2 linked regions of the Xenopus tropicalis genome follow. The protein of the gene in region 2 interacts with the protein of the main gene of each other region in a biochemical or structural test. Links are inferred from orthologs where the notes say so. Each region holds a gene or a part of one and is shown on either strand. Other genes may lie near its edges. The genes, in order: tesc and slc9a1.

Region 1 (8,145 bases), on a different chromosome or scaffold from region 2:
AGTGCCATATCTAAACTAATGTTGCTGCTGCTCTATCTCCCCCCCCCCCCATGCCATACACTAAGGGGCCGATTTATCAAAATGTGGGTTTAGAACTAACACATAAAAACTCACCCATACCCTATTCCTATGGGATTTTTAGAAGTCTATCAAATGGTGAGTTCTAACTTTCACCCATTGATAAATACGCTTCTAAAAATCCCATAGGAATGAATGCAATGTTAGTGAGTTTTTATGTATGAAACTCTAAACTCACATTTTGATAAATCTGCCCCTACAAGTTCTTGTTTGGTGAGGTCACCAAACGAGCGGATCTCTACCCCAATATGCTCACCTAAGGTGGGCGATATTGAAATAATCACATCAATGAGCCAATGCAGTCTTTAATCCAATGTGAAAATCAAACCTACCCAAACGACACTTGGCCAATTTTCAGCCAGATATCGATATCCTGTGGGGGGTCCCAATAAATGGGCAGATAAGCAGCCAAATCGGTCTGAAGGACTTGAATCGGGGGCTTAAATCTGCCTGTATATGGCCACCTTCAGCCATCATATATAAGTTACTTATGTCATGCACAGGACTATTTAGCGTAGGCATTAATGGAAATTGCTGGTAGGAAACCATACATGGCCAGGTTCTCTGCAGATTGAAAGCATAAGCATTGTATTTGGTTTAAATAACCAGTATGGAAAATCTAATTAATAATTTACACATTTTTCACAGCAGACAGATGAATTAGCTCTTAAAATGCTAAATTTTCAATTTAAAAGGTGGAAATTTGGTTCTTAAAGGAGACGGAAAGTCATTTTGGCATTTTACTGGCAATAGATTTGACACATTAGTGCCACCTAGAACGCTATATTTATTCAGCAGAAAGCTTTACTATACCTGAGTAAAGAACCCTCGAAGCTCCCTCTGATAGCAGCTGCCATTTTAGATTGGTCTTGGTAGCTTCCTACTGCAGTTATAGCTCAGATAACCCATTCCTAAGGGGGGGGGGGCGGGAGTTTGTATGCATTTTTATAGGAGGGGGGGGAACTGGGGAGACTCCTGCCAAAAACCCAGGGCCGGAACTAGGGGATAGGCAGAAGAGGCAGCTGGCTAGGGTGCAACAATTGGGGGGCGCCAGGCAGAAACCTCTCCTGCCTATCCCTAGCCCGTGCTCCCTTCTCATTGCCCCACCGGTTGTCATGCGGTGGGGGCAATGGCTCTCCCCCCTCCCTTGGCCTGCCCCTGCCCAAACATGAAGGAGCCCTAAAAGAGAGGAAGTCTGATACCAAAGAACATGTTCACAAAAAGGAGACAAAAAAATCCTGTTTCTTTTGATAGAGGACTCAGTGCAGCATTACTGTGAGTGCTTATGGCTGTATTTACATAGACCTTCTGATAAAGCTTTCTTAGTTTTTACCTTTCCTTCTTCAGTGTCACCATTTAGCTGCCTGAGACAAGGGTTTCCTTGCTACATGAGATATGTATGGAATTTATTCATCTAAGAAACTAGCACGGGTGTGCTTAACTGGGCACAGATTTATCCAAAGTTTAGACATCTCCTTTATCTTTAACTTAACTGAAAAAAGCATTTCTCTCGCATACTGAGGTCTTTCTGAGATTTATCCACTTTTTGCCAGTTTTCACAATCTAGTTTCTATCAGTGCACTGATTTAAGAATTATCAGGTTGGTTTATTAATACGTTAAATAGAAACATATGGGAAAATCTCAGGTAAATCAAAGTACCACGTATTATGTTTTTTTTCTTTTTTAAATATTTCTTGTGTCAGGTTTCTCAGGGGTGCCAAGAAAGCTCTTCTTGAGTGAGGCTCACGTCACATGCAACATAAGTGTAGAATCCACCAATCTGATGGCAGCTTCTACACTAGGGTATTGATGCCCCTGAGAAAATGGACACAAAAAACAGTACACAGTACTTTTGATATATCTGTCCCTATGGGTTTAGCTGGCCTGGATTAAATTCAAAATTAGTGGCATCAAATCATTCAGCCGAAATAAAAATATAGAATTAGGGAAATGCATTATACGTTGTGGTAATACAAAAATGGTCTAAAAAGAGGAAAAACTTTAAATCAGGACGTAAAACAGGTTTCGTTGTAAGTAGATCCGCTGGCCACAGGTACCCCCTGAAAGTACCATGAAACTGCTTTCAGCTCTTTCACTATCGTCAGGAATTATTTTGTTTTAACAGTGTTTGAAATATAAGGCTTAAGTCTCACTAGGAATTGTATTTGAGCAGGCACCTAATAATTACAAACTGCTCACCCCCAGCTCAGACATACAGGCTTTCACTAACCTGGGAATATTAATAAAGGCTGGGTAATGAGCAGCCCGGTCACTCTCATATATAAATAAAGCTGGGTCTGGGAGCAAGTTGAGGAGGCATCTGACTGTATTGCTAGGAATAGCTGCAGAGGAATGATAATTTGGCAGCTATGTGTGCTCATCAAAATTCTTCACATTCTTCTCTAAGCTCCTGTAATGCGTCTTCTTGTTAATGTACATTCAGAGCATCAGCTGATAAGCAGACAGTGGCCACTAAAGAACTTGGCCGGACACACTCAGCTAGAAGTGATGCTTGCCAACAAGTTTTTTGAGGAACAAGCTGCTGCCCCACTTTCAGATACGCACGTAGCCTTTTTTCCTTGCTTGAAAAAAATATATAATATCTACTTGTGCTGCTTTTTACGTATAGGCTTGTACCTGGCCTTGCCAGATTTTATTTATTTTGAGAAGGCTGCAGTCTAAGCCTGAACATTAGCATCCAAGTACTCTGACCTGGACCGTGGGCAAAAGTGGATCATTAGACAAAAATATAGTTGGTAAATAGTTTGGGACCAGGAAGTGTAATGGCGTGCCCGCCTAAAGCCTGTATCCTACAAGGTTTATAGCTAGCAAAAATTGTCTGTTCATTTAGTTGCCTTAAAACTTCTGAAAATCTAAAGTTGACCACGACAAAAGATCTGCACGATTGGCAAGGTCACCACAGAGGGCCAAATAAGGATGACCTACTTAGTTGGTCTATAGGACAAGGGCTGGCTAATAACAGGGGGCTAAGGCAGGCCTGTCAGGACAGTTACACAGAAATGTGCCGATTCAGCTTTTGCCCAATAAGATTTCCTAACCTGCATGAACAGATACCTGGCCAATGGGCATAAAGTTGGTGTACACTTAGGCACCTGAATAAGTTTTATACAAAGCAATTTGTGTTCACCATTAAAGGATTCCCGGCATTGTGTTCCACCCCTGGTGTGTGAGTGCAACATGTGAGCACTGGGCCGTGTAACTACTGCTGGCACAACACGCATGGCAAATTGAGGGTCCAATTAAGGAACTACAGATTCATCTCTCAAAGCTGCTGCTCCTGCTACTTGCATGTGTATATGTTTTGGCAACATTTTTTAATAGAAGAGCCCAGAAAGTCTTCCAGCTAATGTACTGCAGTGTTTGCTACCAAGGCAGCAGTGCTGCTCCCACTTCCTATCATGTTCAGCTACTGTGTATTGGTATTGAAGTGCTCTTCAGAGACTTTTCATTATAAAGTTTCGACAATGTATTTTGGCAAATGAATCAAAACAAATAGTTACCTTGAGGAAGTCATCAAATGTAATTCCTTCATATACCTGGTCAGGTTCCTGTCAAAGCATAAGATTAAAATGCCTTAATAAATGGGTTTAACACAAGAGGGCACAAGCATAGCAGCTAAAGGTGATTTGCAGAGCTATGTGCACCTATTACTATTTGCACTGTGCAGAATACAGCAGAGGGGAGATAAGTAGGGCGCCTGAAGGTGGCCATACACAAGGTCACCAAACGAGAGAATATTTCTCCTGATATATCCCCTTAGGTGGGTGATATTGTGCTAATGTGATTGTTTGGCCCTAGGAGCAAACAATATATCCCTAACCACTCCTTTCCACCAGCAACAGCAGGCCAGTAGAAAGGCCTATGCATCGCTTTGACTCGCACAAAGTTGCCTGCAGGAGGAAAACTGAAGCAAAGTGTAGGCCTTTCCACCTGGGACTCCTATTGTTGCCAGTGGAAAGGCATTTCAGAGCTGTTAGTTGCCCGCAGTAGCAGAGATCTATCACTAGTAACTAACTTGCTCCATGGGACATTAGCCTAAATGGAAATTGTTCTGGCAGGCCTTGGACTGGGCACTATACAAACAACAATGCAGAGTTTATTGTGGATTTTATTGCCTTTATCACGCCTTATCAGTGTGTCACACTCAATTACCCTTCAATTGGCAGAGCACCGATTTGATACAGTTTCGGAGCAGCAGGAATAATGTACACTTCTTGCTTCCTTGACTGATATAAAATAGGTGATTTCAGGGATAATCTCCTATAAAGGGGGGGTATGGTACTTAAACTGTGCTCTGATGTGGATTTCATGCCCAATTTAGCACAAATATTGTACTGAGGAACTATTAGGGCAATGACATGTGGTGCTATATGTTGCACTTGTTTTCTTGCAGGTACAAATGGCAGGAATAGTGAGAAGTGTCTCCGCTGAAACACTTAAATCGCATAATTTTAAGTGATTTTGAGTGTTTCAGCAAAGAATTCTCAGCATTGTCTCTAGCATTTTCTAGCATTTTGTAGCTGTGACAAAACCCAGGCCACAAATAGCACCAGTGTCTAAATCAGGGGTGTCAAACTCAATCACATAAGGGGGCCGAAATCTAAAACACAGGCTAAGTCGTGGGCCAATTTTTTTATCAATATACTTAGTAAGATACTAAGGGCTATATTTATCACAATGTGTAAAAAGTGGAGTAAGATGTTGCTCATAGCAGCCAATAGATGCTTTGCTACTGATAGATATACCACTTAGTCTTAGTTACTATGTAAGGAAAATGGAAATTGATCAGGCTGGATGGTCAAACACACCCACCAGGGGCCACATAAAACAGCCAGGTGGGCCGGATTTGGCCCCCGGGCCTTGTGTTTGACATATATGGTCTAAATACAGAGAATGGCATAGGATAGATGTATTTAACTTTAAATCCTTTTGGTTTGTGCACATTACAGGAGAATCCCAGCACTGATGCAGAGAGTAGGGTGTCATGTTATATCATAAGAGAATAGTTGCCAACATGTGGCACAAATAGCACAATGGACAACTCCTCAGAGTTTCTCTCGTAAAGAGAGATACCTTCTATCTATTGCAGCACTTTTATTTTCTATGCACAAGAAGCTCAAGTTTATGGGTCAGTGACTCTTTAAGCCACACCACATCAAATCCCACCTATTTTCAGCCTTCTAGCAGCTTTATAATATGATAAATTACCATTTGGCCAACACAAATGCTGGCAGCTTCCAACATTGCTCCATCTGCAATGGATCTTGCAGTTTCCTTTTCAATATTCGGATTTCCAGATAAGAGTTCTTCTACCACCTAGGCCATTACAAAACAGCGTTAGCTTGGACAGCTTCCCAGGATAGATAGATAGATAGATAGATAGATAGATGCAAGTAAGGTAAAACGTATACATTACTTTTCTGTATTCCTCCAGGGTAATCTTGCTATCATTGTCTGTATCATACATGTTGAACAGAACTATGTGAGAAAAGAAAGCTGTGTTTAGTCTGTGCTCTTGCAAAGATAGTCAATGTATTGAATGTTTTTCCGCCAAAATTTGCTCCATGCGCCTGTATCCAGGCCAACTCAATGGTTACGGGTGCAGGCACAGGGAAAGACTGATGCCAGGGTAGGGGCCGATTCCTTCCCAGGACGAGAATCAGCCTTGTGTGGTAGCAGCTTAAGTGGAACTAGGATATGGGAAAATACACCTCCTATTGTACTATATAAACACGAATTATTATCTAAATGCTATAGGGATTATATCACACTGTTTGGCCCACAGTGCTGATACCTAGCCCAATTGTTTCCTGAATCTAATAGCCTGTGTGCAAGAGCTTTGTTCATCTGCCCAGTGTGCAGCCAGCAATGGAGGATGGTGTTTATATGGGACAATGCTGCTGGAAACCTGGCAACATACACCAAAAATATGAAAGTATTATAAAGTAGATAAAATATTATGAACTACAATGGTAATAGCTGTGTGTTCAGAAAGACTACTGTAGTTTATACTAACAAGCTGCTGTGTAGCCATAGGGGCACAATGTTCTTTTACAAAGCTTATCTGTTATCTGCCATGTAACCTGCACCATTTTGCCCTATTTCAGTTTGAATGGCTGCCCCATGGACAGCTTATTTATACAAACTATAGTAGCAAACAAACATTTTACCAGTGCAGGGCAACAGTACATTATATTGTAATTACTTTTATAACATTTTCATTTTTTGGTGTTACTGTTCCTTTAAAACATGTAGTACAGTCCCCAGTATGGCGGGAGCTTGCTGGCAAAGTTTAGTTCCCCTTTAAGAATGAATGCATACTATGTATATGGTAACTCTACGCAAGTCATGTTCAGTTCATGCAGGCCATTCTGTACATAGGCATGAAGAACTCACATCTCAGCTTGTCTTTCCGACACACGCTTATGTTTTCTTCATCCATATTCTGGCTCAGGGGGCGGAAATAGGACATTATTGTCAGAAACTCCTCAAAGTTAATTTCTTCTACATATCCACTCGACCCTTTCCGTAAATTCCTGCAAGAGAGATGCAAGGAAATGCAAGAATTCGCTAGGAGTAATCAGCAGACTATGGGGCAAATGAGAACTGCTACCAGCACTATTTGGCCACCAATATTCCCCTAGAGAAAAAAGGCAAAATAAGTCAGAAGGAACCACTGAATTTCCTTCACTAAATGGAGCCCAAGTCAGCCCCACAGCTACATGTGAGATGGGAGTATATAATTACCAAGGGTTATTACTGTGAAACTCACAGAGCTGGATGATTGTAATTGCGCTGCTATGCCCACCCCAGGAACCCTTTCTATGTCACCTTATCATATTTACTATCCAGTGTGCATTAGGTATTTATGACATTGATCTCCAGTGCAGTTTGCAGCTCATTTTTAACAAAGTTCAGAATCACATTTAGTAAGATGAAATGTAACAAAACACCATTTCTTTGATGGAAAGCAGTTTCTGTACTTGTGCGGCTTATCTATACGTTATGGTTTACCAATTTTGCTGAACTCTACATGAAGGATATGAATAGCCATACTTAGTATTAAACTCTGAAAAATTCATCAGCTTTGCTTATCTGGGGTGTAATGTGTCACTAAGAAGCTGTGGGGGCTCCCAGTTATAAAACCAAGATTCTGTCTGTTGGTGGCTTGCCTGAGGAACAGTAATGTACAATGGCCTGTCATGTGGCCCCCTAATTACTCTGCACTTTGCAATGTCAGTTGGGAATTTATGTGACTCTGTTTCCAAGCAAACCTCAACTAAGAACACTTTTTAGCGAGAAGGTCCTGCTATTTGTTTTGTTTCTGCACCTGACTCTTACTGCCCATGGTGCTACAGAAACATATTACGCAGACAATGCAGAATCTGATACTAAAGTCAAGAGATGGGAATGATCAGCACTGGCCTATCCTATAACCAAAGCCTGGGCCAAGTTACCAATACAAGTTGTGTGAGATACTACCCAGATATGGGCGGAGGGGTCACAGTGTTAATCATTAGCATCACTCAGCACAGAAACCAGGGTAGAGAAATAATAACCATCTCCTCCATCTCCTTTCTTGGTGTTTTAATTCCAGATAAAATAAATGATACATTGTACTCAAGCACACAGCGCATTGCGTTTGGCTTAGTGTGTATGTCAGCAAAGACTCTCTGTTTCTCCATTAACAGGCCAAATCTCATCAGGAATCCCATGTCATTGGTTACTTGTTTGCAGAAGAAGAGGATAGTGTAGGACAAAGGTATTAGCATATTTACACAGGTTATCTGCCCTGTCCATGGTTAAAGGAACAGTTCAATGTAGGAATAAGGGCTCTGGCACACGGGGGAGATTAGTCGCCCGCGACAAAACTCCCTGTTCGCGGGCGACTGATCTCCCCGAGTTGCCTACCCCTGCCATCTCACCGGCGAAATCGCCCCGCCGCGTGTGCCATCCCGCCGGCGACTTACATGTTCGCCGGCGGGATGGCGGGTCATGGCAACTCGGGGAGATGTCGCCCGCGAACAGGGAGTTTTGTCGCGGGC
Region 2 (8,842 bases):
CTGCTAGGAGTTTGCATGGGTTGCTTCTGGGTACTGTGGTTTCTCCCCACATTCCGCAAAAAAACATACAAGCAGGTTAATTGGCTCCTGATGAAACAGACCAGAGTGAACCGTTCCACATTAGGTTCCACATTAGGAAAGGTTGGCCTTTCACATCACAGCAGTGTTAAGTCTGAATGAATTTTGTAGTGCAATTCTTTCTATTTTTAAATTAAATCCCTGCAGTTTTCTAGCAATGATAGCAAGATAAAAAGATATTCATCCTTGAAAATTAGCTACCAGTATAATGCTAATGGTGTATGTAATTTTCAAGTGGCATTAAAACACAAAAAGCTTTTTCACTTTTACTAACTTTTGTCCCACATTGTGGAATTTATAGCACTATATGGTAGCTATGATACCAAGTTGCTGTAACAGAGCACTGAGTGCCCAAAACAAAAAACAAAAAGATATATATGAAAAGTGCAGCCACACAGCTCATTAGCATTCTCACTACAGCGAGAGCCAACACCTTTCCTCTATCCCCTCAAATCCAGTTTTACTAGTCATGAGGTCAAATTGCACAATGACCTACAGAAAGACTTCTGAATAAAAGCACAGAACAGGCAGTTACTTTTTGAAAAGTAAATGAATCGGGATTTCCAGAGCCACACCTTTTGGCACATATTTCAGATTGTTTTTAGGCCTCAGTAATCACTTTCTATTGTGTATATTTTTGGGATCACCAAAATTAATCCCTCAAAAGAACTGCAGACTATTTCAACAGTACAAAATATAGGAACACTCATTTACTGCAGAGCCAATACAAAAAAGAAATAATTTTTGCTACGTATTCTGAACTTCACTTCCCAGCATCCTGAGCAGTTTATTTTTAAAATAAGGTTATTTTATGAAAGAGCAGCAGAAAACACTATGTAAAAATTCCTTAGAATTGCGGGGTTACTAGCTTTGTTTCTTGATAAACTGAGATTTTCCACTAGTACTTTTGTCACACAATAAGTGTAAGATTTCACACGTTATTTGTTTGTTGCCTTGATAATAGTAACCATGAATACCTTTAATGATTCTCTACTTATGGAATTCTTTGTGCTTTTAGTAATTGCACACCACAAAGGTATATCGTTTTTTCCCATTTTTTTTCTCAGGCACTCAGTATTTACTTTTGTTCTCTTCACAACTTTATTATGTGAACATGTAGTGCTTTATAATCTCTTGGCCTTTATAAAAAGCAGTTTGTTTTATACAGTGAACGAGGTGCACACAGGTAACCTTAAACATTTAGTAATTAATTCTTCTCACCCTTACACCAAAGCTCAAAACCGATGAAGGAATGATTTACATAGTGCTGTTATAACTATCTGGTCTAATGATCATTGCTTTACAGCTGTATTTCGCAAATATGCATAGTTAAATATACCTGTGAAATTAAAGAGGTAGTTCATTTAAAAAATCGTATTGTTTTAAATATGGCTCAGAGTAAGCCATGTCCTGATGACATCAGTCAAAAGGGATGTCTATGAGCCAGATATGCCAAATTTTATTGCCCCCCAGTCTTTTTAAGGGCTTCATAGACTCCATTGTGTGACATTTTAATCTGTCCTTCAAACTTGCAGTATGACATACTCAACTCAACATACTCAATTATTACACTTGGGGGCACATTCATCAAAATACGACAGGTTCGAATGCAAAAAATTAGTATTTCTTTCTAAAGTTTACTTTTGTGTATTTTCTGCAATATTTTCGTTAATTTGCGCGACTTTTTCATATTTTTCGTACTTTTTTGCGACAAAATCATTCAAGCTTTGGTATCGTGACTTTCCTTGGGCCAGGTTGGAGCTGCAGAGTGCCATAGAGTCCTATGGGAGATTTCCAAAATCATGCACTGAAGGTTCAAAGTCAGAAAGGTTTTCCCGCCATTTACGACCGTTCGGATATGAAAATTTCGTGATTTGCGCAAACGATCGTTTCAACACAAACTTCAGATCATAAGTACGAAATTTTTGTATTCAAACGAACTGAATTTTCATGACTTTTCCAAACATCAGAAATTAATGGATTTCATGATTCGGATTCGTACTTAGATTAATCTAGCCCTTGGTGTGATCTTTGTTGGTCCACCACACCAAAGAGGGTAATGATGGTGTTGAATTGCCTATATTTGTGCAGTGGACAGGTGGAGTCCAAATTGTCAGGCTAATGCCAGATGTGGTGTATTCTCGGCACACCGAAAACACTTACAGAGAATGCGCCCCTACGCTGCAAAAATCTACTACTAGAGCCTGCACCTGGAAGCATTGAATACGCTCGGGTGCAGGCACATGTGGTGTATTTCTGCCGGAAACTGCATACACCAACATTTTCAGGCAGAAATACGGTACTTGTACCGGCACCCTTGAGTATTCAGGCACAAGCAGGAGGTTTTTACAGTAGCAGGGCGGATTCTCGGCAAGTGTTTTCCAGCTTGCCGAAAATATATCACATCTGGCATTAGCCTAAGAATTTGGTTTTGTAAATTCTTTACAGCCCAGTGAGCATCAATAACCATTAATTTAATTGGGATCTCGTTATATAGTTATAGCGCGAAAAAAAGATTACTTCTAGGCCAAAATACTGAGAATTTAAAAGGGTTTACAAACTTTCAAACACCACTGTAAGCTTAGGGAAATTAAAGACATTTTTCAAAAAATAAAAATAGAAATCAAATGAAATTTTTATTCTGCATACTACTGTCCTGAAAACTCAGCTGGGAGCGTTTAGAACACAACATTCTGTGCTTTTCTCATTCTTTAAAAACACTTTTAGAACCTTTTAACTAAAGTGGAACAATTTTCCATATAAACTCCCATATCTTCTGTAAAAGCATTAGTAACTGAAATGTGTGCAAGCACAGGATACTTGATGGCAATTTTTGATTCTACTGAACAAAAAGAATTACACAGAAAACAAAATAAAGCAAAACCTGTGACAGTATCATCTGATCATCTTGAGCCCCAGGGCGTATCTGTTCTATGTTCATCTGCATGCAAACAACTACATTATATTCTATTAAAAACAGAATTTGACTAACTGACTCAGAGTACTGCCAAATGTTGCTAATCACCAGTCCAAGCAGCAAAATAAACCACTTTCTATAGGTGGTTTATAACTAACTCATGTATGGGATTGTGAATGTTAAATGAAAAGCAGCACTGTAAGCACGCACGTAAGCAGCACTCATGTAAGAGACTATGTAATGTAAAATGATATCCCCAATTTGACATTACTTCTATAAAACAAAACTTCCTCCTGGGCACTACCAACAATCACACAGGTTGTTAAATATAACATAGCCATAGTTCTATACATTCAGCAGAACACGGCTTAAAGCTTTTATATTACACTTTTAAGATACCACTTTTAAGTTCAGAGGAGAGCTTTACTCAGTGCTTGCCTACCAAGGTGGGGTGGTGTTCTCTATAACTAACATTAAAATATATATGGTAGAGGCCGCTATCCAAAAATATTGCAAATTTATTTACAAACCAGACAATTTATAAACCATAATAAAACAAAAAACAGTTCATCTATCAAAAATATTGTATGGAAGTTTTCCTTTTGTAAAACAAATATTTAACAAGCCATTATATTAAATTGCTATTGAATCTGATAGCACCTTATTTAAGGAAATAGTAAAATTATTTATATTTACATTTTGTGATACTAGCTTATTAGCTTTTATTATTTATAATAATTGTAATTCCTCCTCAGAAACTGTGGCTGCTCCTTTTCCCATGTTTACTAAGTTATGTGTACTCATACAATCTCCATCACACAAATATTTGTTAAAGGTGTATTATTATATTTAAAAAAAAATCCATATTATCTTTTAATTTAGAGATAACAGACCTTAGCAACTGAAGCCTGAGTTCTTGTTACAGTGTTACCCTGTATGTTTGGGGTTAAACTTCTCAGAACCTTGTTTGTTGTGTGACTGATAGGGATCTGAGACTGCAAGCTCCACTGGGCAGATTGATGTAAATGATGAACAGTCTCTGCAAAGAGCTGCATACACATAAAGTAATATGTAATTAATAATTTTAAAAAATGCATTAATAGAAATAAAAAAAGAGAACTAATTAACATAACTTTTTGGTGGAAGATTGTTGGCTGAAAACTGACTCATTTGCTTCTTCCTGGCAAACCAAGACATGTATTCTGATAGCATGTAACACCTGTCATTACTCACCAAGTTTCATAAGTGATGCCAGAAGGATCCATAATGCTATCTCAAAGGGCATCCGAATACGAGTGTAATCCAGATCAAGAACAGGGAAAGCTTTCTTTTTTCCATGATGCCCTCCTTCGTGACTGTGATTGGTACTATCATGGTGGGTATCCTCAAACACATCATAGGCATCAGTTATGCCAGGATGACCAGATTCAGGAGGATAACTAGCCTCACTAAATACTAAGGGTATCAGAGTCAAAATAAATATATAGCCAAAGTAGTTTAGAAACAATTTCTTCTCCATTATTAATTACTGGACCCTGTGTACCTAACAACGTGATTTAAACACCACTTGATAACACACCTGCATAAAAGTATGCATCAGCCTGCTATGGAATGGCTTTGTGTACACACACATATACATATATATACACACAAGAACAAGCAAGACTAACTACTTCTGTGTATCCCCATAGACAAGGACAAGGCTACATGTACTCCCAATACAACCAAGGCCGCCATCGGGGAATGAAAGGAGGGCAGCCGTCACAATCTCTGTGGGTTTTGTGGTTTAAAGGATTTCCCGGCTATGCTGCACTTATTCAATTACCGGCCCCTTTGCTTTCAGTGAGCTACAGACTTTGGGAGGAATTCCGGTCGCTAAAGTGCCTGTATGTTCTTTCCCCTACACAGCTTATAATGCCAAACAGTCCCGAGTTCCCATACACAGCCACCAGCCCCGTACGCTACTTAGACCTCCCGCAAAATTGTTAACTGCAGGTTCCCAGCCTCCTGTCTTTAAGAAAATCTCAACGCCCCAAGTCTCATCTCGCGAGACTTGCGTCACGCCCACAGGTAAGAGCAGTGACGCATCACGTAGACGCCTTGTGGGAGTGAGCAGTCGGCGGGGTTCAGAAGCTGGAAATGAGTTGCCGTAGCTCAACTTTAAATCTATTTTGTCTACTTCTGTTAGAGGGAAAGAAACAGCAGAGATTTTAGTGTGTTGTTTTATGCCTTTCCGTCTGTCACCTTAGTCCCCAGTGTTATTAGAAGTCATTTATACATGTTGCTCAGACTTTTGAATTGTGCCAGGGCGCTAATACTTTTTCCTGGTTGCCGACAGCATACCTCCTAACATTTTGAAAATGGAAAGAGGGACAAAAAGAAATGATATTTTTAAAACCACACCCCTTAAGTACCACTCCCATTTGACTATATTTGGAAGGTTAATTTCAACACATTTCTGGGGGGTTTGGGGTCTTGTTTTATGTATTATTAAAGTTTTGTTAAAAAAGCTGAAATTAAGCTGGAAGTCTTGGTTCCCCCAAGAGACCTGTTTAACTTATTATTTACAATTGTATCTTAAGTGCTGGGGGGGCTTTTTAACTTCCTGGGCTCTCTGCCAAAAGCTACTTTTTAATTAAATTTGTATCTTTTTTTAGCTTCAGTGCAGGAGATCAAAGGAAAAAGAGGGACTTTTTAGTAAGAATACAGGACTGTGGGATGAGCTGTCAAAAGAGGGACTGTCCTTCGAAAATTGGGACAGTTGGTAGGGATGCCAACAGTCAGGGCCGGATTTATCTTCAGGGCGCCCCGATGGCCGCCCCCGTTGGTCGCCCCGCCCCCTGTGCGCATGCACGAACGCGCGACACACCCCCGTGCGCAGGTGCGAGTGTGCATGCGCAAACCTTTAAACTCCCATACGGAGCAGTGGGGAGAGGTCCCGACTGCTCCGTATGGGAGCCAAATTTAAAAATTTTGTTGGGGCGGCATGCCGCCCCTAAATTCTGCCGCCCTAGGCCCGGGCCTTTGTGGCCTTTCCACAAATCCGGGCCTGCCAACAGTACCTGCTGCCAGGACAGCCTCCAGAAACTTAGGGGCCCCGTAGAAGAAGCGGTTTATATGGAACCCCTCATGAGCACAAGCACACTGTATCAAGATTTTGGCCATTTTTTGTGTATGCAATATCAACAGCTGAAGTTACTCTATAATAAACAGTTCATATTAAGACTTTCATTAATGTGTTGGAGGTCTACCTCTTTCCTAACCTTACTCTGGCTGTCATTGCTTGATATAAAAAATACTTAACTTTTTGCACAAGTAACATAAACTGTGTATGTTTAGGGGCCCAATAACTAGTCACTAGTAGTTAAAATTGTAAACATAATGAGCTAATAAGTGGCTTGATGTGGTGCTGAGAGAACGCACACTGCGAGAGCTACTGGCCAGTGCAACGATCAATTTCCGCTACGACTAGAAGGCATTTCACAGAGTAGACTGGAAGTTTCTCGTTAAATCTGAACTATAGGATTAGGATCCCAAATGCTTAACTGGATTTCAGCTCTATACTCAACCCCCTCTGCTAGGTTAAAAATCAATGGCACCCTTCTCAATCCACAAAGGAACCTGCCAATTATGTTTTCTGTCGCCCCTTTTATTTGTCATATCCATAGAGAGCTTCCTCAATTATATCACGCAATAAATGTCACAGGTATTGAAGTGGGCACAAGAAAGCAGAAATAGCTGGATACGCAGATGACCTGTTACTCTTTCTATGATGTCCACAGTTCTCTATACTAAACCTATTACCAGAACTGGACCAGTTTAACAATCTAAGCAACTTTAAAATACATTTAGCTAAATCAGAGGTTATGAATATAAGCATACCTTAGAATGAATATAACACCATAATGAGCAATTTCCCTTTAAAAGTAGCCCGCTGATATAATTAGGGTCTAAAAACGAATTTGTCTATACACACCATGGTAAAACTAGACTATTAGGGCCTGCTTAATAGAGTGCAACAAGACCTCAAAAATTTAATGAATATGAATATCCTTTTATCGCTGACAGAACAGATAAAAAGCTAGTATACTCCCTCCAAGTATGGGATAATCTTGTTAACACTGCAAAATGAATTGGAAAACCATCCCGATTTACCCCAATATTTGGCAACCCCACTTTTCCACTGGGAAAAAATCACAAATTATATGACAGATGGCAAGTAAAACAACACCAGGTAGTCTATTTTTTCTCTCTGGAAATACTATCCCACCTATAGACAACATTCTCCCTCATCTCCAGCCTACACCACCTGACCAGTTCAAATACGAACAAATTAAACATTTACCATTTATCTAGCATTATCACACATTACCATGTCATGTCGTGTAACCAAAACCTTGCATACCCAAATAGAGCTATTATGGAAAGCCATACTTAACCATAAAGATACCCCCAATCATTTCTTCAAAGTCAAATTGGAAGAACAAGTGGGCAGAACTTTAGAGAACAAGGAATGGGAGAAAATAGTCTCACTAATATGCTCTACCTCTATTTGTATATGAATACATGAACTAAATTACAAAATATTAAGTAAATGGTGCAGAACTCCAGTCAAACTAGCCAAGATATATTAAACAGTTCCATCCACCTGTTGGAGATGTCCTATTGGGCCAGGCACACTTTCTTACATTTTCTGGGAATGCCCAATGCTGTCTGATTACTGGAACAAAGTATGCAAAGCTATCACTGATGTGACAAATGCGGAGGTCCTGAATGAACCACTTACTATAGTTTTACACCATACACCTATAAGCAGAAAAATATACCAGAAAACGCTAGTACCAATTATGTTGGACTCAGATAAACTTCTAATACCTTAGAGATGAGGACAGTCTTTGCCACCGAGTTTTCCTGATTAGTTACGTAAGATCATGGAAATCGAAAGATTTGAGAGCTACAAAGCATCAACAGCACAAGAGGAGCAACAATTATCTCAAAAATGGTTTTATTGGATTAGATACAAAGAAACAAATCAATACAAGAGCTTAATGCAATATTGAACCTTGTTCTGAGTAATACTATACACTATAATATTTCTAACATGGAACTCCTTGTGTCTCCTGGCATGGTCTGGGACTGATACAGGGCCAGAGAGCTCAGTCTTCTGCATCACATTCCTAACAGATATACTCCACATGGGACAACTATCTATAGCGCTGGTTTTAGCCTCATCGGGTGGTGGTTGCTTGTCCTGTTCTCTTTTCCTTCTCAGTTCCATAGAAGTAAATCTTACCTGATCCTAGATCCTAAAACCCCACACATGTTACTGCTTGATTATTAAACACTGAATCAGCTATAAGAGATAGCTCTATTCTCATCTATCCCTTTTCTATTTCTTTCCTCACCCTTTCTAACAAATTCTTCATGCTTTTCAGACTTGCCTGTATGAAACAGTTTATTAATGCCTAGAATGATGGAGAAGTTGGCTGGAATACATGTTTTTTTCTCTTGGGAAATATGTCCAAACATGTTTTTCTGTTTGTTCTTAAAAAAAAATAATAATTAATCTGCTAATAAGTCAATCAGCTAATTGAGGAGCAGTGGATTTTCCCTTAAAGGGATACTGTCATGATTTTTATGGTATTCTTTTTATTTCTAAGTTACACTGTTTACATAGCTAATAATTCACTCTACCGTTTAAAATTTTATTCCTGAACCAGCAAATGTATTTTTGTTAAGTTGAACCAGCAAATGTATTTTTTTTAGTTGTAATATTGGCATATAGGCAGCCATCTCAGTGCATGGTGCCTGAAGCTGGCGATACACGCACCGATAATATCGTACGAA

Evidence for each region.
Region 1: the proteins of slc9a1 (region 2) and tesc form a complex in vitro, tested with the Homo sapiens proteins (4 studies listed by BioGRID and IntAct, with this or other methods). The link is inferred for Xenopus tropicalis from reciprocal best matches to the Homo sapiens genes SLC9A1 and TESC.

Annotation. Positions count from the first base shown.
Region 1 is NC_030677.2:164,792,111-164,800,255, forward strand, and holds part of tesc (calcineurin B homologous protein 3), read right to left. Parts: intron 6,637-8,145; coding exon 6,497-6,636; intron 5,579-6,496; coding exon 5,517-5,578; intron 5,417-5,516; coding exon 5,309-5,416; intron 3,649-5,308; coding exon 3,601-3,648; intron 1-3,600. UniProt on the Homo sapiens protein: Functions as an integral cofactor in cell pH regulation by controlling plasma membrane-type Na(+)/H(+) exchange activity. Promotes the maturation, transport, cell surface stability and exchange activity of SLC9A1/NHE1 at the plasma membrane.
Region 2 is NC_030678.2:77,892,146-77,900,987, forward strand, and holds the start of slc9a1 (sodium/hydrogen exchanger 1), read right to left. Parts: upstream 5,052-8,842; 5' UTR 4,515-5,051; coding exon 4,229-4,514; intron 1-4,228. UniProt on the Homo sapiens protein: Electroneutral Na(+) /H(+) antiporter that extrudes Na(+) in exchange for external protons driven by the inward sodium ion chemical gradient, protecting cells from acidification that occurs from metabolism.